7 linked regions of the Danio rerio genome follow. Each later gene encodes a partner of the first gene's protein in a complex. Links are inferred from orthologs where the notes say so. Each region holds a gene or a part of one and is shown on either strand. Other genes may lie near its edges. The genes, in order: ruvbl1, asdurf, anp32e, morf4l1, mbtd1, dnaaf10 and smarca4a.

What was found.
Region 2: ruvbl1 (region 1) and asdurf share a complex: the UniProt entries of both Homo sapiens proteins name them as parts of the PAQosome complex. The link is inferred for Danio rerio from reciprocal best matches to the Homo sapiens genes RUVBL1 and ASDURF.
Region 3: ruvbl1 (region 1) and anp32e share a complex: the UniProt entries of both Homo sapiens proteins name them as parts of the SWR1-like complex. The link is inferred for Danio rerio from reciprocal best matches to the Homo sapiens genes RUVBL1 and ANP32E.
Region 4: ruvbl1 (region 1) and morf4l1 share a complex: the UniProt entries of both Homo sapiens proteins name them as parts of the nuA4 histone acetyltransferase complex. The link is inferred for Danio rerio from reciprocal best matches to the Homo sapiens genes RUVBL1 and MORF4L1.
Region 5: ruvbl1 (region 1) and mbtd1 share a complex: the UniProt entries of both Homo sapiens proteins name them as parts of the nuA4 histone acetyltransferase complex. The link is inferred for Danio rerio from reciprocal best matches to the Homo sapiens genes RUVBL1 and MBTD1.
Region 6: ruvbl1 (region 1) and dnaaf10 share a complex: the UniProt entries of both Homo sapiens proteins name them as parts of the PAQosome complex. The link is inferred for Danio rerio from reciprocal best matches to the Homo sapiens genes RUVBL1 and DNAAF10.
Region 7: ruvbl1 (region 1) and smarca4a share a complex: the UniProt entries of both Homo sapiens proteins name them as parts of the BAF53 complex. The link is inferred for Danio rerio from reciprocal best matches to the Homo sapiens genes RUVBL1 and SMARCA4.

Annotation. Positions count from the first base shown.
Region 1 is NC_133181.1:43,388,343-43,392,670, forward strand, and holds the start of ruvbl1 (ruvB-like 1), read left to right. Parts: upstream 1-1,165; 5' UTR 1,166-1,312; coding exon 1,313-1,453; intron 1,454-2,075; coding exon 2,076-2,162; intron 2,163-2,284; coding exon 2,285-2,417; intron 2,418-3,564; coding exon 3,565-3,716; intron 3,717-3,832; coding exon 3,833-3,922; intron 3,923-4,328. Other genes in the region: eefsec (selenocysteine-specific elongation factor), read right to left, coding at 287-578. UniProt on the Homo sapiens protein: Possesses single-stranded DNA-stimulated ATPase and ATP-dependent DNA helicase (3' to 5') activity; hexamerization is thought to be critical for ATP hydrolysis and adjacent subunits in the ring-like structure contribute to the ATPase activity.
Region 2 is NC_133184.1:42,816,292-42,820,921, forward strand, and holds asdurf (ASNSD1 upstream open reading frame protein), read right to left. Parts: upstream 2,870-4,630; 5' UTR 2,795-2,869; coding exon 2,717-2,794; intron 2,595-2,716; coding exon 2,541-2,594; intron 1,116-2,540; coding exon 1,040-1,115; intron 918-1,039; coding exon 877-917; 3' UTR 865-876; downstream 1-864. Other genes in the region: asnsd1 (asparagine synthetase domain-containing protein 1), read right to left, coding at 1-864.
Region 3 is NC_133194.1:45,163,578-45,167,960, reverse strand, and holds the start of anp32e (acidic leucine-rich nuclear phosphoprotein 32 family member E), read right to left. Parts: upstream 2,827-4,383; 5' UTR 2,731-2,826; coding exon 2,677-2,730; intron 1-2,676. UniProt on the Homo sapiens protein: Histone chaperone that specifically mediates the genome-wide removal of histone H2A.Z/H2AZ1 from the nucleosome: removes H2A.Z/H2AZ1 from its normal sites of deposition, especially from enhancer and insulator regions.
Region 4 is NC_133193.1:21,420,785-21,425,216, reverse strand, and holds the start of morf4l1 (mortality factor 4-like protein 1), read right to left. Parts: upstream 3,030-4,432; 5' UTR 2,847-3,029; coding exon 2,807-2,846; intron 2,734-2,806; exon of another isoform or gene 2,213-2,733; intron 1,865-2,212; coding exon 1,818-1,864; intron 1-1,817. UniProt on the Homo sapiens protein: Component of the NuA4 histone acetyltransferase (HAT) complex which is involved in transcriptional activation of select genes principally by acetylation of nucleosomal histones H4 and H2A.
Region 5 is NC_133187.1:35,448,314-35,452,370, forward strand, and holds the end of mbtd1 (MBT domain-containing protein 1), read right to left. Parts: intron 3,571-4,057; coding exon 3,452-3,570; 3' UTR 533-3,451; downstream 1-532. UniProt on the Homo sapiens protein: Chromatin reader component of the NuA4 histone acetyltransferase complex, a multiprotein complex involved in transcriptional activation of select genes principally by acetylation of nucleosomal histones H4 and H2A.
Region 6 is NC_133188.1:1,036,287-1,040,776, reverse strand, and holds the start of dnaaf10 (dynein axonemal assembly factor 10), read right to left. Parts: upstream 2,830-4,490; 5' UTR 2,808-2,829; coding exon 2,622-2,807; intron 1-2,621. UniProt on the Homo sapiens protein: Key assembly factor specifically required for the stability of axonemal dynein heavy chains in cytoplasm.
Region 7 is NC_133178.1:18,046,967-18,050,829, reverse strand, and holds part of smarca4a (SWI/SNF related BAF chromatin remodeling complex subunit ATPase 4a), read right to left. Parts: coding exon 3,752-3,863; intron 3,365-3,751; coding exon 3,201-3,364; intron 1,984-3,200; coding exon 1,917-1,983; intron 1,819-1,916; coding exon 1,708-1,818; intron 1,631-1,707; coding exon 1,388-1,630; exon of another isoform or gene 1,261-1,387; intron 1,158-1,260; exon of another isoform or gene 1-1,157. UniProt on the Homo sapiens protein: ATPase involved in transcriptional activation and repression of select genes by chromatin remodeling (alteration of DNA-nucleosome topology).

The sequences.
Region 1 (4,328 bases):
GGGTGAGATTTTTTTCCCTGACAATGTCTGTTCTGTCTTTAGAGTGATTAACATGGCATCTTCAAACGCTGCACACACACCACCTATTGATCAAAAGTGGTACTGCTGCACAGATTATAAAGTGCCCTGACAGGTTACTATTCTGTTGGTTAGTTAATTAAAAACAAGTCAGTACGTAAGTCAGTAACTTCTAGTGCTTTGTGTACGTAGAAGGCGTGAAGTCACACGTCAAAGTGAATTTTATTAGTGTAATTGTTGCTTTACTGAAAAAAATACACCCACTTACCCCCGATGATAGTGCGTATAAGGGAGGCATGTCCTGGACAGTCCACCAATGTGAACTGCAGACTGTCGTATTGTTTTTCCCCGCAGGACTCCCTCAGGTGCTCCGGTAACGGCACCGTGAACGCACTGAAGCCGAGATCCAGCGTTATGCCCCGCTCTTTGGACTGCGGGTTCTTGTCGAAGGCTGCAGTGGATGCGGTGCTGCTCAGCGCCCGGGCGAGAGATGTTTTCCCGCTGTCCACATGGCCGAGGACACCGACGTTAAAGTTCAGTGTTTTGGGAAAATCTGTCATCTCTGGATCAACACCGCGGTTGGGTAACAGAGAGTGAATGCGCAGACTTTGAACTGCTGACAGCGACGCTGCTGGTCAAAACAACCAGCTTGATGTCGTCAGACAACCAACTTACTGTAATTTGATGAATTTTGATAATATCAACTTATTAACTTTGATATCAGAAATAAAAGTGTAAACTAAATTCCTCGGCTCTTACTTCATTCAGCAAAGTTTTCAGAAATTTGACAGTTGCTCTTCCTGCGCTGCCAAAAAACAATCCCTGAGCTGGCAGCATCTCACATCACTGGTTCCGCCTCACGGCATTTTGTTTGAGAAAAGAAACATTCCTCATGAACAAAGTTGTTTATAAATTAGTTTAAAAGTAAAAATAATCTACACCTTGGAAATATTATGTTATCTACACTTCTGAGAGAAACTATTTATGGGAACCCACAGCGTAGATCCTTGTTCCAACACAACATTTCAAATGTAACACACACGAAGAATAGGGGCGGGTTTACAGTGATCAGACCGACAGTTGCAGTGTCCAATGGTCATGCAGAGTTTCCACAAGTTGACCAATCGTTACAAAGAACCACTGAAAAACGTTTTGCGGACGGTACTTCCTCAAATCGCCTTGGTTACCCTCATGGAAACGCGGGTCTCTTGTGTTTGATTTTAACGGCCTCTCGTGAGACAGGCGTGTGGTTGTTTTATTCACGCACAGCGCGTTCGATTAATTATTAAGAAACATGAAGATCGAAGAAGTAAAAAGCACAACCAAGACGCAGCGCATCGCTTCTCATAGCCATGTGAAGGGCCTCGGTCTGGATGAGGCTGGTAATGCTAAACAGTCCGCGTCCGGGCTAGTGGGACAAGAAAGCGCCAGAGAGGTAACACTAGCTAAAGACCAATTTCCGTGTTTATTTCATTAATTAAGAAAAGCAAACATTTTAATTTGATAACCTCGAATGATTTGTATGTAGCTGGCTATATGTGAAGAATAAATACAAAACTTCTAATTCATTTGCTTGTGTCAAGAGCTGGATACAATTGATTGTAAATACGATAAATTCATATACTTTCATAGGCTATATATGAAGAGTTCAGATGCAAAAACCTCTAAGTACCGTCTGAAACTTCCATTAAAGCTGAGCATTTTTATCTCAGCATTCTATATTGATTATTGATGAGTTATTTCTCTTTAAAGATCATTAAATTAACATACTTTTTAATTATTCTTTAATTTGTAATTACTGAACCTACTAACAGGAGCCTGATAAAAATGTTTATTTTAGAAGAACATTTCAGACGGCTTTTAGAAGTTTTTGCATCTGAACTCTTCATATATATATATATATATATATATATATGGAATATTTTAATCACACTTTTTAAACAAAATAATGTTTTCATGTATGTGACATTTTCTGGCCTGTAGTTTAGCCCTGGGCTTTAAAAAAAAAAACTGATCCTGTTACATAAACATCTAGAAAATTCTTGCATATTTGTTAGGCTTGTGGCATCATCACTGAGCTGATTCGTTCCAAAAAGATGGCTGGCAGAGCCATTTTGCTAGCCGGACCGCCTGGAACAGGCAAGGTAAGGGTAGACTGGTTTTATTTACACTGCACTGTATAATTAAAATGGACATTAAAATAGTTTCAGAGCTGTTGTTTAAGATAGTATGTATAGTCTGCCCATTTGATTTCTATCCACCACAGACTGCTCTAGCACTGGCCATGGCACAGGAGTTGGGAAATAAAGTGCCATTCTGTCCTATGGTGGGCAGCGAAGTTTATTCATCAGAAATCAAGAAGACCGAAGTGCTGATGGAGAACTTCAGAAGAGCCATAGGTGAGCTCTCACACCACCATAACCTGTCAAAAAAGGATAGAGGAAAAGTTTTTTTATATATTCGCACATTCAGACTTTCTGCTTAATAATATAATTTCATAAAAGTATTCTTTGCAAATTTTAAATAGTGAAATCATATTAGCAGTCAATGACTATCAAAGTACAGCGTTGTTCAATCAATTACATAGTGCTAATATTGTTTTGAAGTCATCCTTGCATGCTATTTTAGACGCAATATTCAACTTGCCGTGGTAAACAAATATGGGCCATTAATGAAACAAATGTGCAAATCTCAAACATACTTTATCTAAATCAAAAAAGGCTGTTGGCCGTTATCTTGCGTAATGAGTGATTCCTACCATCATTAAATCAATTCAATCAAAACTGCTGATTCAATTAAAAATGAAGCAAGTGACTGTCTTTAATATAAAATCGAGTCTTTGGCTCATTCGATTTGTTTAAAAATAGATTAGTTCTGGAACAATGCATACCATCGTTGCTCTGAAATGTGTAAAATGTTTTGGTATGACCGTTCAGAACTGATTATGTTGACAATTGAAAATAACACAGTATTTTTGTTTTGAAATGTAAACTTACTGTTTTTTGAGCTGTTGATATTTTTGCTTTTTTACTTGAAGTAAAGGGTTTATAGTCCTAGGCTTAACCGCAGTGTTTAGACTGAATATGTATTTGTTTTTATAATGAGCAACATGCATTAATGTCAGCTAGCGTGTCATTAAACAGCAGGACTAAGTGAATATCATTTTATTTTAGATGATATAACACACCCCTACAATAAAGAAGCCATGTAAAATCTGTATTTTCCTTTATGTATTCCTATAGATTTGAGCATGACCTTGTACTGTTCTTCTAGTTGGTTCACAACCCTCAACTCTGAAACCCTCAAGTATGACTCTGAAACAATGTAGACTATGTGATCAAATGAGATATGCATGAATGCACACATTATTACTACGCTGACAGAGATATATGGCATGAACCATTGAAAATACACTTCTGGCTTTTTATTACGTAATGAAATATGTGGTTTTTGTAAAAGTGTATTGGCCAGTAAAACCGAAAAACTATTAAAAGTGTTTATATCAATCTAGTATCTAAAGTTCTGTTTTGTTTTTTGATCGAACAGGTCTGCGTATCAAGGAGACTAAAGAAGTGTATGAAGGAGAGGTCACTGAACTGACTCCTTGTGAGACTGAGAACCCAATGGGAGGCTATGGTAAAACTATCAGTCATGTCATTATTGGTTTGAAGACAGCTAAGGGGACCAAACAGTTGAAGGTAAGGAAGTGCAGGCATGTTGTTATGTTTTTTTTCTGCATGCTTATATTTCGTAGATAAGCTGGATGGAAGCTGATTATGTGGTTGTTTGAAGTCATATCTCATCTCTCCTGCAGCTGGATCCCAGCATCTATGAAAGTCTGCAGAAGGAGAGAGTGGAGGTCGGTGATGTTATCTACATCGAGGCTAACAGTGGGGCAGTCAAGGTATGGACAGATATGCTTCGCTATTCTCTCTCCTGCGGTTCTATAGTTGGCATGTTGAAGTAATCTTTTGTCAGTACAGGTGGGCAGGTAGTCTGGCAGTGGAATAAAGGACGAGATTGTCTCTCGTATTTTTAAAAGAACGTAATACTTTTATTAAGCAAGAATGAATTAAGTGAATTCAAAGAAAAAGAGACTATAATAATGCTACAAAAGATTATATTTCAAATAAATGGAGTTTAAGTTCATTAAAAAAAATCCTAAAAAAAAAAAAAAAAAGATTAGAAGAAAAAATATTAAGCTATAAAATAAATATTTCTTGAGTGCCAAATCAGCATATAAGAATTAATTCTGAAAGTTCATGTGACACTGCGGTAATGATGCTGGAAATTCTCGCCATTACATGAGT
Region 2 (4,630 bases), on another chromosome or scaffold:
CTTACGAACGGCCTCGCTTAGAACATCAATCAGTGCACTAACCACTGCTTTCTTGTCAGTGTTTGTTAAGAATGCTTTCAGATTTTCAACAGAGGTTTGAGAGGCGTTATGATTTTGTTCAGTTGTAAGTGATGAAATGGATGTGTTCATCGGACAAACAGGGGAGGTCAGGTAAAGTCCAGAACTATTTGTGTTTAAAGAAACACATTTGGGAAGACCTTCACATTTCAATTCCGGGCTTTCAATTGGCTTGTCGTCACTGTGGAAAATCCATGGATAAAGTTCAAAAATAAATGTACCATCTAGTGAAGTGTCTGTTAGGTCAAACCTGTAAACTCCACCAGGTGGTACCTCCTGCCATTGGGATTGACTATCATCTGCTGGCTGGGAAGCAACTGATACGAGTGTGAAAAAAGCTCTTTCAGGATTGAATTTCCAAAGCAGACTTCTTCTCCCGAAAAAGTCCCTCCCGAACCAGATGCAGCGCTCAGACTTTTGGTAATAGATAAAGGCCCACGGTCCTTCGAGTTGTGATAACAAACATACAATATCTGAGGCACTGGTGGCCATTGACAGTTGATGAAGAAGAACTTTGGTGTCATTTTCTTCCTGCTCTAATTTCAGACCACCAAACACCTCTCCATTCCAGAGAAGCATATTCCCAGTGTCATCTTGAAGAGGTTGAGGGGTCAGGCAACCCCTCATATGAAGTACATGTGCAGAGAATAGGACACTGCAGTTTGAGATTTCTTTTGTAATGTCTTTGCTACAATTGGGTCCTCTGTGTTTGAGATTTTGAAGCACATTCTCCTCCAGTGGATCATGTGGTGTGGTCAAACTGACCACACAGCAGATCCCACACATGATATCACTTCACTATATATCTTGATATTCTTTCCGCATGTTATCCAGGTCCTCTGTATAACAGAATATTATGACAATGTTAGAAGAACACACTCAAAATGGTGGCATTAGTATTGTATTTATGTATCATCTATCAAAAAAGCAGAAACAACTCAAGTATAACAGAAACACTTACGTTTACAAGAGCTAAGGGTTTCTCCTTTGTCTGCCAGAAAGAATATATTGCTGTTGGGTTGCTGGGTGTACACTCTCTGTGAATATAATCTTAGTATTACTGGAATGTGATGATATCAAGTCAAGTTGAGCTTTATTGTCATTCCACTACATGTGTGATCTCGGCATGGGACGGTAACCGGTTTCAAGGTTTACCGCGGTTTGGAAAATTCAAGGTTTTAATCCCAGTAAATTGTTCTGTTATACCGTTCCCAAGTTATATGTAAAAGTTTTTTTATATATTTTTATGTGTTGTATAGAAATCTACGTTTTTCAAACTAACGAATAGAGCAGAAGTCAAAGATTTATTTTAACTATTTAGCCTGACATGTTTACTGTTCCAAAATATTATGTTCCTTAAAATAAATAATTTGTGTTCAGTGGGGAAATTATAAATGTTTGTTCTATTTTACCCATACATTTTAAAAAAGAGAGAGCAGTAATCACTTTCACAATACTGTGATACCGTGGTATTTTTATACAAGGTTATCATACCGTCAGAAATTTATACCGGCCCATGCCTAGTGTGAACATACAGAGAAACTAAATGTGCAGTCTCCCAGGACAACGGTGCTACATAAATTAATCATAAATACAAACACAACTCTGCACATAAGAGCTATTTTAAAAACCTACGCATAACTATAAGATACTTCACTATACACATGGACTGGCTATAGAAGTACTCTAGAAAATCTCCACAAAAATGGGCCAGAAATGAAACTCAGTCCTATTTGCTTCATTTACAAGTCTGCCATAAGAAGAACACTGACTTTGAGGTAAATTATCTTAAAATAATAAATTCAATAGTTCAAAGGAATTATCCAATTTGAATCCCCATGGGTTAGAAAATGGCAACAGATGATACATTTAAGGTACTTTATAAGTTGATAATTTTGTCAAGCTTAAATTCTACTTTGCTTTTAATTGATGTCAAATAAACTGTTTCACAATTACGTTTTATCTTTCATAAATTTAACTGGAAAAATATCTCTAAACATCGAAGGAACTTCTTAGTTGATATTTTTAAATGTGAATGTAATTAATATCATGGTAAGACTTTATTTTGATGGTCCCTGTTGCACATTTTTCTGACTAAAGTTGTACTGCAACTAAATGCCAGTTACTTCTCATTTGGGTATTAGTAGACTGTCTGCTTAATATCTGCTGATACTGCTGCTTTCAACATTTCACTGACTAAGAAACTTTGCAAGTACATGTCAATTTACACCAACCCCACCTGACAGTCTACTTATAATCTATTGCGAATTAGTATAGTGGAGCATAAGTTCATATATTATATTGTATGCTACACTAGAAAACATTTTAGTATATATTGCCTTCTATAGCGATGTGGTTTGACTTTGTTACATCTATAATTAAGTGAAAGCATCTGCTACACCAAATGCAGAATGACTCTTGATAATATATAGAAAGTGACAAGACGATATGACGTTACATACCCTGTTTTTCTTCAAGTTACTTAACTCGTCCACAACAATCTTTTGCTCTTTTATCTGCGAATGAATAGTTATGTTTTTAGGATCATCAAAAAACAGAAATTACTAAACATGCTTAACGCGTTTTACTGGTGTCAACTGTATACTATAAATTACAAAAAACATATATGATAGACAACCTTTTGGTTCAGCTCCTCTTTTTGTGCGCGCTCTTCTGAGGCCCCAGGCTCAGTTCGCTGTATGTTCTTGGAGGACATTGTTTATTAATACGCTTCAGATCATTTTTAGGGAAACATCTCCACGAGCAAGTAACTCGTTCGTCGCACAAGAATGACGTATGCGCCAACGACGCTTTAAAAGTGCGTCACGTAATCCTAACCCCATTATCCCCCATAAACAAAGCCTGTTAAAGAATAATGTTGGGTGGATAAATCTGCAGCATCTAAACAAAGACGCGTTGTTGAATGAAACAGGGAATCTAAGTAATGTGGTCAAATACGGTTCAAATACGTCGAATGCTTTCAAATAGAGTTTTTACCCGGATATTAACGACTTTTCATCGCGAAACAGCGGCTAGCCCATCTATCTAAACCTGATATTATCATATTATCTTATATCATATTTTGCCATTCTTCTAATGTACGATAAGATGGTAATAAACAAAGCCTATCATAGCTCTAGGCGTACATTATCTTATCCAAATATTTTGGTTTATCCTCAGTAATTTGAGAGCTATCCTAAAGAGGATTGTTTGCATTTAACTTTCAAGATGAACAAATAATGCTCATCTTAATGGAAAAATTGTTCAGGGTGTCCGCAGGGACTTTAAAAGTCTTACATTTCAAAAACAACATTTTAGGCCTTTTAAAACTTTACTTAAAAGGGTGTTACAGGTCTTAAATAATTTTAAACAGGTGTTAATTTTTTTGTCCATGTAAAGCTATTTAATCGGTACAAATAACAATTATTCTAAAAAAACAATTAACTAAATTGTATATTCTAAAACTCTTTACCAATTTGGTTCAATTATCTTTCTTAAAATAAACTTATTTTGTTTATAAATAAGTGTTTGAATTGTAATGGGGCAAGTAAAAACAAATTGCACTGGTCCTTAGAAAACAAGTTTGACATTCATTCATTCATTTTCTTTTCAGTTTAGTTCCTTTATTCATCAGGGGTCGCCACAGCGGAATGAACTACTAACCTATCCAGCATATGTTTTACACAGCGTGTGCCCTTCCAGCTGTAACCCAGTACTGGGAAACATCCATACACGCTCATTCACACTTATACACTACAGACATTTTAGTTTATTTATTTCACCTATACTTCATGACTTTGGACTGTGGGGGAAACCGGAGCACCAGAAGGAAACCCACACCAACATGGGAGAACATGCAAACTTCACACAAAAATGCCAACTGACCCAGTCAAGACTCGAACCAGCGACCTTCTTGCTGTGAGGCAACAGTGCTAACCAATGAGCCACTGTATCCCTCCTAAATTTTGTACATAGGAATAATGCTCTAAAGTGAAGCGAAGAGAGGGGTGGGGGGTTGTGCATGAACCCCGAATCATATCTCTAGGGGCCCCCAATATGCGTAAGCCCTTTAGGACTGTCCTGACCCTACCACAGGGGTGTCCAACCTTGGTCCTGGAGGGCCAGTGTCCTGCTAAGTTTAGCTCCAACACACCTGCTGGGAAGTTTCTAGTATATCTAGTAAGAGCTTGATTAGAGTTGGAGCTAAAGTCTGCAGGAAAGCGGCCCTCCGGGATTGAGTGTGGACACCCCTGCTCTACCATCTTTAAAGGACTTCACAGTCAAAAAAATAATAGTTTGGTAATAAAACAATGTCTCATGGGGTTCTAAACCTTTATGAGTTTCTTTATTCTGTTCCACAACAGAAGATATTTTGAAGAAATCTAAAAACCTTTAACCATCAACTTCTATAGGAAAAACACTACTGAAGTCAATGGTTACAGGTTCTCAACATGTTTCAAAATATCTTCATTTGTGTTTAACAGAGAAAAAAAACTCAAACTTTTGAAACTAGTAAATGATGACAGAATTTTCAGATTTGGCCAAACTATCT
Region 3 (4,383 bases), on another chromosome or scaffold:
CAGATAAGAAAATATTTGTTGGTTTTATTGGAAAACCAATCTCAAAGCACTTAAGCTATGAAATTTGTGCGACATATCATAGGGTATATTGACGCCAATGTGTGTAGAGTACATCCCATTTTGCAAATGAATATTTTTCTTAATTTATCAGTAAACATAGGTCATATATTTTAGTGCATTTAAACAAAATAGATTTTTTAAATAGGTATATTTATATATAAAAAAAAAAACATTTAAATTCATGTGAAACATTGCAAAACAAAATTATTTATTATATTTTATAAATTCAGTTTTTCTTGAATTTTGCTCTATTTTAAATTTATTTTTGTTTAATATTTTTCCCTAACATAATATATATATATATATATATATATATATATATATATATATATATATATATATGTGTGTGTGTCAGATAAACAGCCATACATGTTAAGGGAATTGTCTATAATTAATTTATGACCCATGTAAATGAAATCCCATTTATTAATAGTAATAAAATTGAAATACATTTCTTTTCCCAAAAAGTTCAAAAACATTGGAAAATATATAGCATAAACAAAATTAACGGAGATGGAACATTTAGAGACAGCAAAAAAATAACTGAATATGGGTTGGAATATAAATGTTTTTTTTTTTTTATTTTGCACTACACAAAGTATGAATCCTTCCTGTTTCTGTAGAGCTGCTGTATGCTATTTATCATTGGATAGCCCCGCCCCCGTCTCCCACCATTGGTTGAGCCTGTTTTTAATTCCAATTATTGAAACAAACAATACACACATATTTTCTAATGTATTTACACTTTTACATTTTAATGTAAGTAATTAATGTATTTAACAGGAATGATTTAATTTAAATGGGATTTAAATTATAATATAGACAATTCCTTTAACATAGATATTTGTTTATCTGACAAGTTTGAAACTTTTCTATATATACAAAAAAAATGTATTCAACAAATAAACAGATGTGCACTTAAAAGCTTTGAGGAAAGACGTGCTGATTCTCCCATTAAAAACAAACAGAAACGTGCACGCGCGCGCTCACTGTCATGCACTGCAGCCCTAAAATTTAAATATTCAATAACTTGTTGCCCTTGTGGAAAGATACCTACATTTTGAGCACGTGATGTGTGTGTAATGTAGCCCTGGTAATGCCTCCCCCACCTCATCTCACAGGATTTGGTGTGTGTGAATTTACAGCCAGCTCTTCACAAGATGTTCACACAGCGCGCGCAAGATTTTTTAAACCGGTGGCGCAAGATACACCCAAGTTAAAAGCCACGTATCGCTTATGCACGTCCACCATGTCATGTCAGACAGAGTATCAACTCAAGCTCGTGTAAAAGATCCCATCCATCATTACCCCATTCAAAAGAAGCGTGCTTCAATACTTCGGTTCAGGCAAGCCTACAATAATCTACTAAAATCGGAGAGGAGGAAGGGGGGCTCGCCCTTCACCATCTGCCACATTCCTTCAATTAAAACGGCGACTGACATCCTAAACAGCTTCCTAAAGCCCAATGCATAGTTTAACGTCGGGAATAAATAATTTTGCAGACGGTTACATAATTACGCCATTAACGTAACCGCGTAAGAAAATGGCAACTAGTTTTTTTTTAAACCGCAGCGACTATTTCTGGCTCTTATGCGCCAATTATTCGTTTCTCCACACCACGTAAGCGTAGTGAATCAAACCACTGAACTTTTATTAATAATAACAGAGTCAAAGCTTCAAAACATCGTCATCTGCGTCTCAACTATTGATGCAACAAAATGACTTCCACTCCCCGCCCGTCAACACGGAGTCGAGCAGAAACACACACACATCCTCACCACACACACCGCGAGGCGCTGCAGAAGCCATGAACGCTTCATAATACAGTTTGACCTGACATTCGCTCCATATGTGCTTGTGCTCTCAAACCCTGAACATTTTAGAGGGTCTTAAGATGAAGAACGGAGGCGAGTGAATGCCTAATGTTGAGGAGCCGGAGAGAGTAAGATGTCCGCCTATGGAAGACGAAACTGCTCGTTTTTTAACGTACGTTACTAGATTAGAAAAGCCATATAGTAGGGAGCGCATCTGTGAAGCTAGCGTATAATAAACTTTTTATATGAAGAGATAGGAGATTTATTCGCGTGATGTTTTGCATGTAAGGAAGACTGGGGTAGGAATTATATAACAATACACAACAGTTTTACTTTAATTGTTACCGTTTCCTGCTGGAAGCGGGAACAATATCGTATCGGGGCATTGTAATAACATCGTAAGCAAATTAGACGACACTTGTTGAGTAATAAACATATTTGCGACCGATAAAAATACTTAATATCGAAGTGTGTTATTTTGAGGTGCTTGTTGGGACGCCCACATCGACAAGTCTAATGTAATGGCGAAGAGATCGTGTGAGGAGTTCACAAAAGATTCACCAAGAGTTTAACGCGCTTAAAATTACGATTATATCGACTACTTGTTTGTGTATATCCAAATATGCAGTCTCCAAAAATCCAAATTGGCATCCCGTTAAGGCGCCCATGTGGTCTCCAAGCCGCGCTGCCATTCAGCGGACTCCACTGACTATTCCGAGCGTGCAGGATAGATAGACAGACAGGTTGCGAACTAACATCATTTCGCGTTTCTGTGAACAAAATAAATAGTTAAAGCGCTCACCTCTGCTGGAGTTCTGTTCCTCAGCTCTAAGCTAATCCTCTTCTTCATCTCCATTTGGTTGGTTATTGCTGCGCTGGGATCGCGTAAAGAAAATAAATTTGTCAGAAACTCCGGAGCGCGGACCAACGGCTCGGCTATCTTCAATGGCTGCCGTTCTCCAACTGATCCTCCATGATACCTCGCACCCAACCCCCTTTTTGAGATCCCGCCTACTTCGCGTTTCGATTGGATGATCGCTATTTGTCAACGCGTGATTGGAGAACGTGCCTGTCACTCAAACAGATCACGCTTATCAACATAATCGGTCTTTATAGCCTGACGCGATTGGCTGGAAATACGCGCGCAGTAGATTTTCGACGGGTCGTCCAGAACGTCAGTATGAAGCTTTCAAACTGTAAATCCGCCTATTCTTTGTTCTCATTGGCGCCCTGAAGCGAAGTCCGTGTCCTTTAATACTCCAATAAGTCGAAATTAATTTATAGACCAGGGATAGATGGTGTATTCTGAAGAATCTAAAGTGAACGCCAATGCTTAAGAGTCAAAAATAAAACATTTTTACATCTTAAAATATAATTTATGTTATTTTCACCTTAAAACACGTGTAAAATGTGTTCTGTGAGGTCAAAAGAGTCTTAAACATTGAGTATGTTCTCTACAATCATTTGTTCTATACAAAATGGCTGACCATAAACCCAGACAGTCATGGTGGCTTAAAGTCTGCTCGCCATCTGTCCCATAATGTGCTGCTGCTGATCGCTTCACTCACAAAGGCCTATTTTAGTCATTGAGCACCAGCAGGATATTCACTTGTTATTATATATTAATAAACAACCTTCATATTTTTTTCCCTAAAAATGTCTTCATTCATTTTAAAACAGCATAAAAAACAAGTATCCCCACGGAAATGTAAAATGAAGGCTTTGAGCGCTGTGCATTAGTGCAGTACACCAAGGTGACCACTAGGGCTGCGTGGCACACTGACCCTGAACCGCAATGGACACCACAACAGATCTGCTAAGCTGATTTATCTGGGCTGCCAGAGAAGAAGTGAATAATCTTTTCTGTATGAAACAGTCATTAGGGCAGACTCTTTGTTTGATTGTGTATCATATATCAATCTTTTCTTTTACAATTACTTTTTAAAAGTACAGATCAGATATGTTTTTTACCCTTTATTATCATAATTTTACCATTATTATTGTCTTTATTGTAGTCAACAGCCTATTTTAGATATTTTTAACCTTTTAGGTGCCAATTACCCGCATCCTAAATTGTTAAAGAAAGACAGAGTCACTCTCTCTCACACACACTATCCCCCTAAAAAGACCCAGTTTATACTGTAAAAATTACATATTATTAAAATCAATTATTATGATTAATTAATTATATATTTTTACTCATTTGATGGCATTTATAAAATTATTTTTGATTTCTTTTATTCACATTTAATTCACATTTATTTGCAGTTTAATGAAATGCATATAATTCTCACATTTGTTCAGTTTATATTTTAATAAGTAATTTCATATCAAAAATGAAACAAAATTTATATTATATTACGTTTTCTTTACTTATTATAGTACTGCATTTATTAATTATGTTTATTTTAGTCATTTTTAATAATTTTACTTTAATAAACACATTGATTTGAATAGTAATTTCTATTAAATTCTTTTAATTTTTATAATTGTTGAGTATTTTTTGTTC
Region 4 (4,432 bases), on another chromosome or scaffold:
AACTTTCCTTATGAATTATAATTTTGTTGTTTGAAATTATTTAATTGGTGTTGCAGAGTTAAAAGCTTTAACACAGAACTTATAAATGACACCTTATACGGTTGAATTTAGAATTATTAAACCCCCTTTTATTTTTTCTTTATTTTTAAAATATTTCCCAAATTTTGTTAAACAGAGCAAGGAAATTTTCACAGTATGTCTGATACTATTTTTTCTTCTGGAGAAAGTCTTACTTGTTTTATTTCGGCTAGAATAAAAGCAGTTTTAGATTTTTTTAAAACAGTTTTAAGGTCAAAATTATTAGCTCCTTTAAGCTATATTTTTTCAATAGTCTACAGACCATTATTATACAATAACTTGCCTAATTACCCTAACCTGTCTAGTTAACCTAATTAACCTAGTTAAGCCTTTAAATGCCACTTTAAGCTGTATAGAAGTGTCTTGAAAAATATCTAGTCAAATATTATTTACTGTCATCATGGCAAAGATAAAATAAATCAGTTATTAGAAATGAGTTATTAAAACTATTATGTTAAGAAGTGTGTTAAAAAAAACATACTCCATTAAACAGAAATTGGGGAAAAAAATAAACAGGGGGGCTAATAATTCTGACTTCAACTGATATTCCAAAACTTTTTATTTAGTCCATTCTTTTTAACATAATATTGTATTATCATGTAGACAACATACAGAAAGTATAAATATATCCTCTAGTAAATATTATAACAAATAAATAAGTCTAAAATATTCAGATGCATCAAAATAAACTTTTGCTACCAGCAAACTATGTTTATATATTAAACTATATACTTTACTACATCTGTCTTATATACACCTCTGAGCTAGCTAACTTAAACTGACTTCATCACTGCTCTTATCAAATGTCCAATCTGCATTATTCTCATTGTCACCATCTCATCCTCACGTTCATCTGTGGGAAGAGCCAGTTGTGTCCTTTTCTTCTTTCACTAACTATAGAACATTGTGGTCCTCACTAATACACTGTTCCTTGTATTTATATCTAATCAAATGCACTGCCATTAAAATTAGATTTAACCATAAAGCAAATGCCATTAACATACAACTAATCAACGTTATATTACTAGCATTCATGTTGTTATTGTTACAACTTTAAAGACCACAGCTGAGCTGACCTAGCTAGCTAATCTATCGCAATATCGCACATTCCTCTATTGTACAGCATTTCCATTTGCTAGCACATACATTTGATCGACTTACAAAATGCTAATTTGATCAAAATCTTTTTGAGTTGTGAATATGTCATCATAACTTATTGGATGTGATGTCTCAGATTTTGTTTGTGGATCTGGCATGGGTTGATGCTTTGATTTTATTGACTTTTTCATTTGCTTTCAGCAACTATTCAAAATAAACGCCAGTCTAACAGAAACCAAGCCACAGAAAAACACTGCACGTCATGTGACTTAACCGAAGCACATCATTGGCTACACTAAGGTCTTCTCTTTCCAATAACCACAAAAAAACAAAAAAAACAAACAGAACGTTGGTCTTAAAGAAACACTGGCAGAAGAAGAAGAACAGTGGCACTGGCAAAAATTAACGGTATTATGTTGCCATATGGCAACACCATGGGGTAGAGGGCTAACTATACAAAAACAAATCCCTTTACTTGACACAGAAAACAATACCAAAGCATTAATATGATAAACAAAACCACTACAAACACATGACTACATTTACACTATAAATGTAATGCCATTCAGGTACTGCTTTCAGGAAAACAAATATCAAAAAGCCTTTTGAAGCATGCATAATGGCATGAATGATTCAGGTACCTTAGCTTCGTATAGCAATGGCCCATGAAAGCACAGCACTCGTTCACCTGAAAAAACATCAGAAATATTAATATACAATGACATCCACTAATGGGCTAATAAATAAAATAGAAGTGTTACATATTCAAATATGTGTGTGGGCACAGAATATTGTACTTTCAGAAAATGCCACAACAAAGAAATGTTTTAAATGTATAGTAGATTTATAACAGTCTGCAGTATATTTACCATATTGTTTGTTTGAATCATAATTAAGCTCATTATAACCAAAATATAATTAGCATTTTCAATACACAATACTTAAACAAACGAGAAATACGCACATTTAAAACCTGCTTATATAGTCAAACAATACATCAAATCTGACTGTTTACTTGACATATGCGTTTACTTACAATCACCAACAATATTAACTCATATTAGAGTCCCAGTTCAGGAATCAGATTCAGAATAGAACACTGTTCTAAAGATTCGATTCTATAGAACGATTCATTCAGTTATCAAAAATTGCTAATGGTCATTTTAATGCAATAATATAGCCTTTCTTTGCTCATTATCGACTTCAGTTTTAGAACAGCTCCGAGCTAACGTCGTTGTTTTTACGCTTCAAATAAGTAAATGACTGTTCCCGCCAGGACTTCAATACTGCAATGGCCGCTTCCTGTAAACAAGGCCTGCTGTATGCTAACGGCTACATCATAGACAACAGCTAATGTTTTGTTTCAGGAACACGCCGCTGTGTGCGTCTGCAGAGGCTGTCAGATGCAACGAAAAGCACCAACGTGCGATCATGCACTCGCTTGACAGGTGATGAACAACTCTGCACAAGTTAAAGGCGGCAACTCTCAGCTAAAAAGTGTTTTGTAACAGACAGCTCGCCGTGCGCGCGCGCCATTGTGCAGCGGCAGCGCCCGCTTCCTTTGCACGGCAGAATGAGAGGATCCCCGATCGACGGGTGACTCTCGTGGATGAAACAAAGCGCATCTTACCTTCTTGAAATTTAGGTTTAGGGTCCTGTTTAGGCGCCATTCACAGATTAAACAATAAAAATAGCTGGAAAATCAAATCCAGGCATTGCCAGCTCCGATTTAATTCACGCAGGGTGAAGGCGCCGCGCTGCGTTCCTATGACGCACTTTACTGGCGCCCTTGTCAGGTGACTCTCATAATAAACAGCGTTTATCCAGCAGCCCCTGTTGACGAATGACAGAAGTTGTGCTCTACTCACGGCAATACATGTAAATAAGTGCATTTATGCAGATATATTTCAACGTTACGCCACGCCTCTTCTATAATTTATGTTTTTATTTCTTGTTAAAATTTAAAGGGGTAGCTGCACCAAAAACAAAACAATTGAGGTTATGCAAGGTGTACACGACTTTTGTTTATATATATATATATATATATATATATATATATATATATATATATATATATATATATATATATATATATATACATATATATATATATATATATATATATATATATATATATATATATACATATATATACATACATACATACATACATACATACCATACACACAGTTCTCAGCATAAATAAGTACACCCCTCACAAATCTATCTTTTAAATTCATATTTTTAATAGGAATCTATACTATATTAGTCAGTACTGAAGCAAATCTGGAGCCTATCTAACAAAATAACTTACGATAACAGTCCAAAAATAAGTACAGCCAAATTTATGTTATAGAAAAAAATATTAAATGCAAATTTAAGAAAAGAGAAAAATAAATAAATAATATTTTTTTTATAGGTTGTAAGTTTTTTTGGGGCCATATTTTGCTTGAATTTAATTGTATTATCTTTAAAAAAATTTATGTTTGGTGACTAAAATATTATTTCATTAAATAAATTTGTTTAATAAATTTGTTTCGTTTAAATGCACCACAATACATTGCCTATATTCACTGACAATTGGATACACATATGTGTGTACTTAATTATGCTCAGCACTACACACACACACACACACACACACACACACACACACACACACACACACACACACACACACACACACACACACACACACACACACACACACACACACACACTTTTAAGTCAGAATTATTACACCGGCCCCTCCGGTGTAATATCTTTTTATTATAAAAAGATATTATCTTTTTATAATATTTCTAAATTATGTTTAACAGAGCACAGTATGTCTGATTATATTTTTTCTTCTGGAGAAAGTCTTATTTGTTTTATTTCGGCTAGAATAAAAGCAGTTTAAAATTTATTATGTATCATTTTAGGGTCAAACCTATATTAGCTCCTTTAAGCAAAATTTTTCAGACTGTGTACAGAACAAACCATCGATATACAACAACTTGCCTAATTACCCTAACATGTATAGTAAACCTAGTTAAGCCTTTAAATGAGCTAAGCTGTATAGAAGTCTCTTGAAAATTATCTAGTTAAATATTATTTGTCACCATGGCAAAGATAAAATAAATCAGTTATTAGAAATAAGTTATTAAACTATTATGCTTAGAAATTTGTTAAAAAACAATCTTCTCTCTATTAAATGGAAAGAGAATTACAATCAAACCTGAAAACATTAACCAGAAACAAAAGTGCAACACATCAA
Region 5 (4,057 bases), on another chromosome or scaffold:
CCAAAATAAAGACAGACGTTCCGGCACGAAAACATTTTAAAAAAAAAAAGAATATCTGACTTCAGCATTGTTTTTCAGATAAACAAGAATGTTCATTTAGCACGCTTCTTAAATATCTGCAAACATATGATGGTATTTTTATGCTTTAGAAGAGACAAAAACCTACATACAGCACCTTTAACTCATTCAATTTTTACTAATAATAACTCCATCGAGTGGTTTGAAACTACTATCTGTTAAACACAAAGAAGATATTTGGAAGAATGTCAGTTGCTGGGACTCCAATTTCCATAATAGGAAAAACAGTGTTCGACGGAAGAAACTCTTTCAAAACAAGTGAATGATGACCGATTTAAAACTTTAGCGTGAACCATCCCTTTAAACCTCGAGGCATGGTAAAATTCAGACATTTAAATTCAACAAATGTTAAAAAAACAATTAACTCAAAACAAAATTGGATAGCATAAACTTTAGTTGGATTAAAAAACAAACAGTACCAAAAAAGCATGGTTTTAAAAGGAAAAGGCAAACAAACGTTTAGTAACCTTTTAATTCAGTGTAAAAATTTCTTTTTTTTTTCCCCCAAACTCAACAGATACATTTTTCACAGCCATGCGGAAACAGTTTGAAATGCTTGTAAACAAATTAACATAAAATTTGACCAACAAAAGCTCCCCCCCCACAGTTTGAAGTATATACATATAAGCTCTATCAAACCCTATAATCACAGCACACGTCATCATCATAATCATCTTCGTCATAAGAAATAAAGCAAAGACCAGATACAGACTCTATCAAAAAAGTTACAAATCCACCACCCTCACCTCTTCATACAACGAGGGTCAACGTTAGTTCTTTTTTTTGTTTTATTTCATTAATTTCACTTTACATTGTTATAACAAATGATTTCGGCTATTTGTATCCAAAAATACAGATCTGAAGATATAATCAGCGGCTCTCCAACTTATAATTACAGACTTATTTCTCCTATGATAGACCTAACCAATGAGTTATCAAATATATATATATATGAATATAGCACCATGATGTGATTACTGAGGACAGAGGGGAAACGTCACAAAAACCCGTGTTAGTATCCAGACCAGAACAACAACTGGCCCTCATAAGATTCATCTCACATTGCTGCATGCACTGATAAGAACTCTACTGGACGACATATTTTTGTTTTTTAACGTATATTTTTGTACTCCCATAGCTTGAAAAAAAACAACACAGAGAGGATAAGGCATCAATTCTGCTGACAAAAGGATGAAGGTGAAGTTGTGCGTTGAAATTCTTTCAAGGGTAGCAGCTAAATTTGCCTCAACAGTCGTTTTATTTTCGTTTAAATTGCAGAAACAATTAATATTTTGGTCTTATAATGTTTGTGTATATATATATATATATTCAAGAAATTAAACTGAGCTGACATGACTGACATGACCAGTGTGTACCTAAATCCTGATGCTATGAGTTTGGGTTTATAACAAAATAAAAAATGATGGAAAAAATAAAAATAAATGAACGTGGCTCCTGCAGCTGATGGGAAAATGTGGCCATTAAGTCCCAGTTTGACATGAACACACGACAGTGCCTTACATTTGAAAAACTACACATGCAAACGACACAACAGCTACTGAAGAAACCCACCACGAACAACAACAACATAAAAAAACAGAATGATTCAGTACAAACATCCGCTAAAACTCATAAAGAATAAGAGAGAGAAAAACAAACGGTAAAAAAATACATTGAATTTGTTTTATACAACGAACGAACCATAATTTAACATGGATCTACCTACGACGTGGATGACCATTTACAAAAATCGAGGCAGCATTTAACAAACGCGAGCAAGAAGTTGTTCTTTTTAATTCAACGAACGAAACGGCGATCGAATCGAATGATTTTAGTAGCGCTTTAGCCGTGAACCTTCAAATAAAGCAGAATTAAATGAGATATATACGTTTCCTGAGAGTTCACCAACAACCTTACTGGTATTGAACAGAGCTTATAGTTCTACTAAGATAAACCACTATGCGAATGTGATATAGAGGATGTATTTACACTCAGAAGGATCTAGAACAGGGAAAGCTCAAGTCTAGCTCTTAGAAAATTGTCACAGTTTCTCAATATCTTTCCTTTTAAGTCTCTCTCTCTATATATATATAGGAGCTGTGTGATTTCTGGATTTCAGAGTAAGACATCGTAAAACAACACAAATATTATTATTGCATAACCTTCTTCTTTTCCTTCCCATGCTCGAAAACAGAAATGCTGTATAGACTTTTAAAAGTGAAGTATGTCACATGTCCAAGTGTGAATATTTATCTCTTGCATAAAATATAATGGTGTACACGCTTGCTTATACGGATTATAAGCATGAAAGAACTACCTATTGCAACGCATCTTCTTTTAGAGGTAGTCAAAATGTGGAATGGAATCAGGAAATGTATGGGATGGGATGTTAGAGGCCAGGCTAGTAAATGAGCTAGCGCTGGATTGATTGATCGGAGACTCGCGAAAGGTAGTGTTCAGGCAGCGGTGATTGCTTACGTTTTATTCTCTGGCTCAAAAACACTTTGACCGCCTGTATTTTAAAAAATGGCTCTTGAGATTGTAATCAAAACCTATAAACACTGGCGTCAAATGTCGAAAAACTAAACAATTTGCATATCGTAATCTTCACTTTGACTTGAGCACATCCCACCGCTAAAGTTACGCTTGCTAATCACATCACAATAAAGCTGCGGTTTGTTTGTTTACTGGTTTTACATTTCGTTTGAAATCCCTGTAGTGCAAATTGTGAGTGTTTTCCGTTAGTCTACTCTACATACCAGTAAGGTTTGATTTCAATACCATCATCCCTCAATCCACTACTATATTTATACGTTTAAATATGTTTAATATGAATGTCATACATATATATATGAATATACTGTCTCAATATAGATTTCTACTATTACCAAACGCACACCCATCCAAAACAAGTGAAACAGCGCAAGAACACACAAGGTACTGAAATGTCCACCCCCAAAAATACCAAAAATGTTTGTCGTCTTTTTTGTTTTTCTTCACCAAAAGAGGAAAAATAAGAGATAAAATATGTATAAAAGCGAAGAAAACTTTCAAGTACAATGAACACTGAGGAGGAAAAGTCCATCGGGCAAATTGTTTAAATGAGAACAAAAAATAAAGAATAAAGAAAAAAGTCAGGATAATCAACGCTATCCTTATTATATGAACCAAAATCCCCCCTTTTCTATCTCGCATCAATGACTGAAGTTCTTCTCCTGAAACCTGAAAAGGAACCATAAAAGGAAAGGAGAAAGACCTGGTTTTGGAGGGAAGTCTCTTCTTCTTCCTCCAGGTCTGCTGTGCATCTCTGCGTGTGGGGTTTTTTCCAGTGCTGTTGGCAGTGAGGTGAGAGTCTGTGATTGGCTGCATCGGCTCATGGCTCCTGTCTGATGTAATAACTGCCCGAGCCGTTGCTCTCCTGGTCCGAGATGCCTTGAGAGAAGGTGAACTCGTCGATCTCAGGAGTCTCTTCTTTCACCTGCAGCGAGGCCTCTGGGAAAGCAAAAAAGGAGACACAAGAATAACAATACGTCAAAGAGAAAACAGACAACTGAGCATTGTTTTAATTTATTTTAGTTGCCAAAGACTAAAGCAAGTTGTAGTTTTCAAATAATGAGATCAAGCAGACAGCAATATGCAGAGTTTAGATGTTTTAGTAGTCTGATAAACTTACCTGTGATGTTTTAAAGAACAATGCACACAAAAAATAATAAATGCCATCATTTACTCATCCCCATATAATCAATAGTTTTTTTTTTTTTTCAAGAGAAATCTTTTTTTTTTGCAAGTGCTGTGAAACTGAAAACGTATGTGTCTGTTTCCACCTGTTATTAACATGGGTTCAAAGGAGTCTATTGTGAGCATTTGCATTCGTCTTTTGTCAAGATTCTTCTGTCATTTTGACACAATCAAAACTAAAAGATATCTGTTAATAACACTTTCTGTATTTTGTGATTCATAAGTGGTTTCAGTTTATTTA
Region 6 (4,490 bases), on another chromosome or scaffold:
GGGAAAATGTTTTGTTTGGCTTTATCAGTTAAAAAACCGAAGCTTGACATATTTTTTTTTCTTAACCTTCTTATCTTACTAACAAAACCTTATATACATACATGTAAATTTTCCAACCAAAAACCTGTTTTCATATATTTTGCTTACTGAATTGCAGTAATACTATGAAACTATTTCTTACTCACAGTCTTTAAAAACAACTGAAATTTGTCAGTTATATAATCGTTTTCTTTAATGTGTGATTTATATACCCCTTTTGTTATATATATACCCCTTATATATACCCTTTTTGCTGTTATTTTTCTAATTAGGGGCCAAGCACCGTAGGTGCGTAGGCACCTATTGGATCCGTTAGCGTTCCTATTATTATTATTCTTCTTGTTTGTTTGTTTGTTTGCTTTATTTATAGAGCACATTTAAAAACAACAGATGTTGACCAAAGTGCTTTACAAAACGACCAGCATACAAAATCTATACCTATATATAAAAAATTTGCAAAATATATAAAACAGATTAAAATTAATTACAATCAAAGGCAAGAGACAGAAGGTGATTTTTTAGATGAGACTTAAAAGCACCAAGTGAAGAACATGACCGGATCTGTAAAGGCAGACCCTTCCATAGTCGGGGGGCTGCAGCAATAAAACCCTTTCACCTCTTGATTTCAACCGCGTTTTGGGGACAACTAGCTGAAACGTGTTTTCGGACCTGATTGGCCTCAATGAAGTGTGCCAGTGAAGAAGCTCAGAAATGTAAGTCGGTGCCAGACCATTCAAACTTTTAAAAACTAGAAGCAATAATTTATATTGAATTCTAAATTGGACTGGGAGCCAGTGAAGAGACAATAAAACTGGTGAGATACTAGAGGATTTTTTTGTCCCAGTTAAAAGCCTAGCAGCTGCATTTTGAACCAGCTGCAGGCGTGCTATTGATGCCTGTGAAACTCCAGAATACAAAGAGTTACAGTAGTCCAGTCTTGACATAATAAAAACATTAATGACAGTTTCCAGCTCTTTAAAAGAAAGAAAAGGCTTCAATTTGGCAATGTTCCCTAATTGATAGAAACCACTTTTGACAACTGAGTTTATTTGCTTGTCAAACTTTAACTCAGTGTCAAAAGTAACTCCAAGATTTTTTACGTGACTGTGGACCTTAGGCTTGATCGAACCTAATTTATTAATTGTAGATTCACAGACACTCGGAGGACCAAACACTAGTACTTCAGTTTTTGATTCATTCAAGTGTAAGAATTCTTCTTCCATTTCTTCCACCGGATATGAATGGCAGCCCATATAGGCGTATGCGGGAAAGTTGTATAATTTGGCACAATGATAGAGGACAGTCTTAACATTAATCAGACCAAATGTGAAGTCTCAAAATCAAACTCTCTAGCGCCACCACTTGTCCAAACTTTCACGTATGTTTATCATAATAACTTTTGAACCGAATGGGCTACAATCAAAATTCCGCTGACTCCTTGGCTCAGTCCGATTCAAACGCACCCTATGACATCATTTTCCGTCATGAATTTTTTCGCGCTATTTTAAATTTTTCGAAAAACCTATTTGATCGAACTCGTCCTAGGCCGTTTCTGCGATTTTCACCAAAATTGAATCACATGATCTACAGACCATGCCAACCAAGAGTTATGGAATTGAAGTTGATTAGACCAACTGTTTTCGCTTAACTTGCGATCAAATTTAACGTAGAACTTGCGAAAATGGACTTGAGACGATATCTCTGTAACGCATTCACCGATTCACACCAAACTTGGTGTGTGTTATGACAACTAGGGTCCGAGGTTATATGCTGAGTTTTGGCACATTGCCCCCTAGTGGTCCGGAGATACAAAAAACTTGATTTTTGGCTTATAACGTCTCAACCTTTCGTCCGAAACTGATAAAACTTGTCTCATTACATCCGGCAGAGCATGTCGAGTCGAATGATGTCTGATTTTCACAGGTCAGCCATTTTGGGCGTCGCCCATTTCGATTTTTGGCCAAAAACACTATATTTTACCAACATATTCACATATCATTACAAAACATGGTATTCATCTTCAACCCCATGCCCTAAAAGTACTCAAAAATTAAATATATATATATATATATATATATATATTATATATATATATATATATATATATATATATATATATATATATATATATATATATATATATAAAATTAAATATAATTTTAAAAAAGTGTTTCCGCAGACTGTTTTTATTAAGTCTGATTACATCAAACACAATTAATTCATCTTTACCATTAGAGGCTGGAGATATTCACAAACTGCTGACACACAACTGGGGTTAAACCCCTTATAAAAGGGATTTTTGCATAATAGATCATGAATAAATCTCTATTTTTAACTGATCCCTGACTAGTCTTATAGTCATGATTCACATGTGTATTGTGGATGAATATGAACTATGACGGTGAAGTAAACGTTAATAAACGCGTTGTAAACAGAGACTGAGGCAGTTGAGTTTTGTCGCCATGGCAACCGCGCCTCAGGACTTTTCTAGAAAGCGCCGAACTGGCTTAGCTAATAAACAGCAAAGCTTTTCAGCAGTTTGATTTGTGCTTCAGTGAATATATACTATGAAGAGACCTGACCTCTCTGACCAGCTGCAGCTCCCCGTGCTGGATCTCGTAGATCTGCATCACTCCGGTTCCTCTCGCGAAGTTTCCCATACAAACAAACTTGGCGCTGCACGGAATCCATTTGCTCTCGAACACCGTGTAGTTCAAGCTCTTCTGGATGTGCGCGATGATCTGCGGCTTCTCGAGAGCTGCTGACATGATCTGTGCTCAATATGAAACTAAAATCTATCAGTTTGAGCAGAAGGAAAGAGATGTCAGTTGCGCTGTTTGCTTCTTCTTTGTTTCAATGGCTGTTGACAACCCTCTTAAAAGCTATACTTCCGCCACCTGGTGGATTGGTGTGGGTTTTTGCTAAAAGGGATACAGCTGCGGTCGAGAATTATTTATATTATTTAACTACACATCTATTGTATTTTATTAACATCAACCCCAACCCTAAACCCAATTCTGACAGTATTATTTATTAAATAACCTATTAATTGTATGTTATTACCATATTTCCATCTACCCCTACCTCAACAATAAACCCAAACCTCACAGTAATGCAAAAACAGCAATTAAACAGAGTATTAGTCATATTATTTCATAAATTAACCATTAATTTTATTGTATTAACGTCTATCTCTACCCCAAACCTAAACCCAACCATAACAGTAATGTAAAAACAGGTATACACAGTATTAGTCATATTATTTATTTAATTACCCATTCATTGTAATTTATCAATGTCTACCCCCACCCCAGTAATGGAAAAAGTAATAATACAAAGTATTATTCATATTTTTTATAACATTACCTATTAAATTGAATTTTTATTAACATTTACCCCTTTTATCACAGTAATGTGAAAATATTAATTATTGTTGTAGTGTTACACAAATTATGTCATATTGATGTACCTGCAACTGCATCCCTTCTAGACTTCACTGTTTTTTTTACTGGATACTAGTAATATATAACAGAATAAAATGTATTTTACACACACACACACACACATATATATATATAATCTTTATAGTTCATTCTCCTTAAATTCCATTTATTATACCTATTGCATTTCACTGATTTATAATCGCAAAATACACTTCATATTGTTCTGGGGCATTTCTTAACATATTCTTAATTGTTATATTCTCAATTTTCAATAGACTGAACTTTGTTGCTCTTATACCGAGTGCTTTTGTTATTGTTTTTTAATTCACCCCAATTTATTGCTTAACATATTCTTAAATTAAAGGGACTAAGCCAACAAGAAAATGAATGAATGAATATTCTTAAATTCTCATTTGTTTTAAACTTAATTCTCCATAAGTTTCACTCATTTAGTATTCATAATTTCTAATAATATGTTTCTCTATCTGCACTGCTCCACATTTATTAACATTTCCTGATTCACGTTTTACAATAATGAATGTCTGGTAGGTGCTGTCTGTGTTTATCTATCTATCTATCATGTTTGTCTGTCTATCCATCCATCCGTCCGTCTATATCTGTCTGTCTATCCGTCCATCCTATCTATCTATCTATCTATCTATCTATCTATCTATCTATCTATCTATCTATCTATCTATCTATCTATCTATCTATCTATCTATCTATCTATCTATCTATCTGTCTGTCTGTCTGTCTGTCTGTCTGTCTGTCTGTCTGTCTGTCTGTCTGTCTGTCTGTCTGTCTGTCTGTCTGTCCGTCCAATAGTATATTTATAGGCTACACGTGAGCTCTCCGGTGTTTTCCTACAGCGTGAAGGACCCTCAGAACATAGTTGACCCACATTTAGCCTAATCAAAATGAACAAAAAAAATCTTCACAACTCAAAATAACTCAAATGTTTTTTTTAATTTAATAAATTCGAATTAAATCTAAACATTTTAAAACAAT
Region 7 (3,863 bases), on another chromosome or scaffold:
GAATATACCGTATATACAGTAATTTTCAAGGAACAAACCATATATGATTCATAAAGCAATGTCAAATATGCATTTTACAAATGGAAAGTGGCATATTTTATTGTGTTTTGATATTATTGGGCTAATTTTGACTGGCAATTAAGCTAGTTTTGTTGCAAAAACCTGGCAATCCTGAGACTGACCATTTTGAGTGCAACTTTTTAAAGCAGCAGATGACAAAACTGCAGTGTGCACTTCTAAAAAGCTGAAAATTAACATTACAAAGGTGCCTTATGATGAAAATCTGGGTATACCAAGGCATAGTAAAATAATAAACGATCAATATATGGATATGGGCATACTGTGTGCCTCAGACACCAGTTTCATCGTATTAATGTCAATTCCACAAGTGTAAAACCCAGGTAAACAATGGGCCAATCAGAAGACAAAACAAACTGTGACGAGACTCATGAGCTATGTCTTCTGTATTTGCATGCATCCTTACTTTAGGTCATTCATCCTGACCTGATGAGCAACTGACATAATCAAGAGAACACAACTCACCTGCAGCTCTGAGAGCAAACAAAAGCCCTGAAATTATTAATATGCACACCTCAGGCTGTGTTTGATAAGCCAAACGTTTTCTAGTGATACCAGTGATCATTTTCCTCCCTTAGTTATTTTAAGTGTGTATTTCACTTCCTATGCATGTTGGACTTTTATTGTAAAAACACAAGCGCCAAACAGCATAAGACATGTTTAAAACTCGCCTCAGGATGCAAAATCCAAGATTTACAGATTATACACTTATTCCTCTCCACTCTGAAGAGGCATATGGTATGCTTGGTTACATCTTTTGTTAATTTATCATGTTTATTGTGAAATGTGAAGCATATGTGTATTAACAAACACATGTAGACTCTTGAATCTTGTCAAATCACTCACCTCAACTGTCATCCGTTCATACAGAAGCTGATATTGAATCGTGGCTGTTTTCTCTTTGAATGTAGCTCAAAATACAATGCAATACATCTCTCTTTTCACTCTCTTTTGTCAAGTTTAATCATAATTTAGTTTTTACCCACAACAGATCTGGTGAGCATAATAGGTTAAGGTTACTCTGATTGGGTTATATTTGTCTGTGTTCAGCTTGCATCATGCTCTGTGTGTATGAGTGTCTGAAATCGCAGCAGGTCAAAGTTGAGTAGAGCAGATATTCTAGGGGTATTTAAGATAATAAATTAGCTTATAAAAGCGTTTCTGAAGATTTCTTTTGTTTACTTTCTGAAGCCATAAACCTACTAAGTAGATATCAGAGAACATTTTAACTTATTAAACCAATACAGTATATGGCCCCTTTAACACATTATCCTTATAGTTACTGTTATTGTTGTGAAAACCATTTTACCTTCTCTCCAGTCATGGCGAAGGGCGCGTTGAACCACTGCTCAAAGGTGCTGCAGCTCTTGAAGATGGTGGGCAGCAGGAAGTTGAGCAGCGCCCACAGCTCGGGCAGCTTGTTTTGCAGTGGAGTGCCAGTTAGCAGCACACGCCGGGGTGCCAGGTAGTGCGTATTTAATACCTGAGTCAGTTTACAGTGGTGATTTTTCATGCGGTGACCTTCATCCACGATCATGTACTTCCAACGGAGCTGGAAGAGAAGGCATCATCAGACACTGAATAAACACTGGTCTGAGAATGATTAATGATTAAAGGTCAGGTTAATACCTTGGCCAGCACTTGCTTATCTTTGATGATGTATTCATAAGTAGTGACCAGTACGTTGAATTTGCCACTGCGCAAAATGGGAAGGAACGCACGGCGAGCAGCAGGAGAGCCCTAAGATGAAAATAAGCAAAAAAAAAAAATGTGTTAAATATCCTACAGGGTTCTTCGGTTGTGGTTTATTTTGTATTACAGCATTTGATTTAAATCACCTTGTAAGAAACTTTCACCACAGATGGAGCCCACTTATCAAACTCGTACACCCAGTTCGACAGAGTCCTATAAGACAACAGAAAAATCACTAATCATTCATGCATCTTGGCAATGCCCATGGGTTGATTATTTTTGAAGAGAGGTGCATGATTATCTGCTAAAAATAAAGATATCCCAGGCCCAGTGTGACCCAATACAAGTTTATTTTATATTTGGTGAGCACTGCCTCTCAAGTACTAATATTACCCCAAATCATAGTGGGTAAAGAGCTGTATCATGTGGATAACTGGAACATTTTGTTATCGTTTTGCTGCATCTCAGCTCACAGTAAATAAATAAATATCACTATTGATGATGGAAAAGTGTATAATGAATATTTCTACACAGCATATTTTATTGTCCAGAAAAAAATGCTTGAGATTAAAATGCAAAGTGTACATAATATACCATAAAGAAAATATATATACAGGGTGTGCTAATATAGTATATGACATACCATAAGTTATAATAAATTTCCTATTTAAATAGAATACTTTATTAACTATAATAACAATTTTAAATGAATGACACTAAAATCATAACATCAAATCTACAATACATGCCAAAAAAATCCTTACTACACCCAAAACTGTTCAATTCTAGAAAGCCTAATTCCCATAAAAATGTATTTGGATTTATTTAACTGTTTTTTGCCATCGAGATCAGAGATTCCCAAATATTTTCTTATAAAGGGCCAAAAAACAAACAATTTAGATCTGAGGGCCGATAGTAAATTTATAAGACTAATTTCCCAATTTCTTTGAAATAATATTTATAAATAAATAGACTTTAACGTATTGGGCTAGCTAATACACCCTAATTTTTTTACATTTTATAATGAACGTATTACAATGAAAACAAACTAACATAAATTCTATTTATAACACAATTGAGTTCAATGCACATTTAAATAAATCTCATCCATTCCCAATATTTAATTCAAGCTTTCTTTTTTGTAGCTTAACAATAAAATAAACAAATAAAAGATTGTGTTAAATTAGAAATGACAATCTCTATTAAAGGCATACCCCTGCCCCTCCCCCATTTTTCCTCTCTTTTCAGATGGGATAGTGGGCCAAACCATGGGTTATCATAGGCCAACTTTGGACATCTCTGATCTAGACGCACTCACAAATCACCCCGATAATTTACAGAATATTCATATTTTTACATTTTTTCGTTCATCCATAAACCTAAATATTGTCAAATTCTTCCTCTGGTATCATGCAACTCCAGTGACTTACGAGAGGGGGACGATGATAAGGAAGGGTCCGTTGAGGCGTTTGAACTCCATGAGGTAGGTGATGAGTGCGATGGTCTGGATAGTTTTGCCCAAACCCATTTCATCAGCCAGAATGCCATTTAGGTTATTGTTATACAGAGACACCAGCCACTCCAGACCTTTAATCTGTGGACGGAACGAAAGCAATAAGCACAAGCCACCAGATTAACAAGAATCTCTCTGTGTATTTTTCGTTTTTATATCCATATCTTAGTATTTTCTGGGATCTTTTGTGGTAACTGAGATCGGTGATGATAATTAATAACTGAAAAAGTTACGTATCTTCAGAGAAAAGCATTACGTCGAAAAAAAGGTCACACTGAATGGTAGAGGGGGTTGCATACAATGCATATAAACGTGTTCACAGAATAGGATTTGCAAAGACACTGAGACCAAAAGATCTGTTCCAACTCTCTGTGATCAGCTGCACCTCAGGAATTAGTTTAAAACATTTTTAAAACAGAGCATGTTTGTAATAAAGTAAAAACTGTAGAGTAATATATCTTTTTCTACCTGATATTGTTTGAGCTGCCCGTTCACTAGCAGACTCGATTGCTTTTCCACCTTCTCTGTGACGGCGTGGGCCACAGCATAATATGACTGCAGGCCCCGAATGAATGCAGAG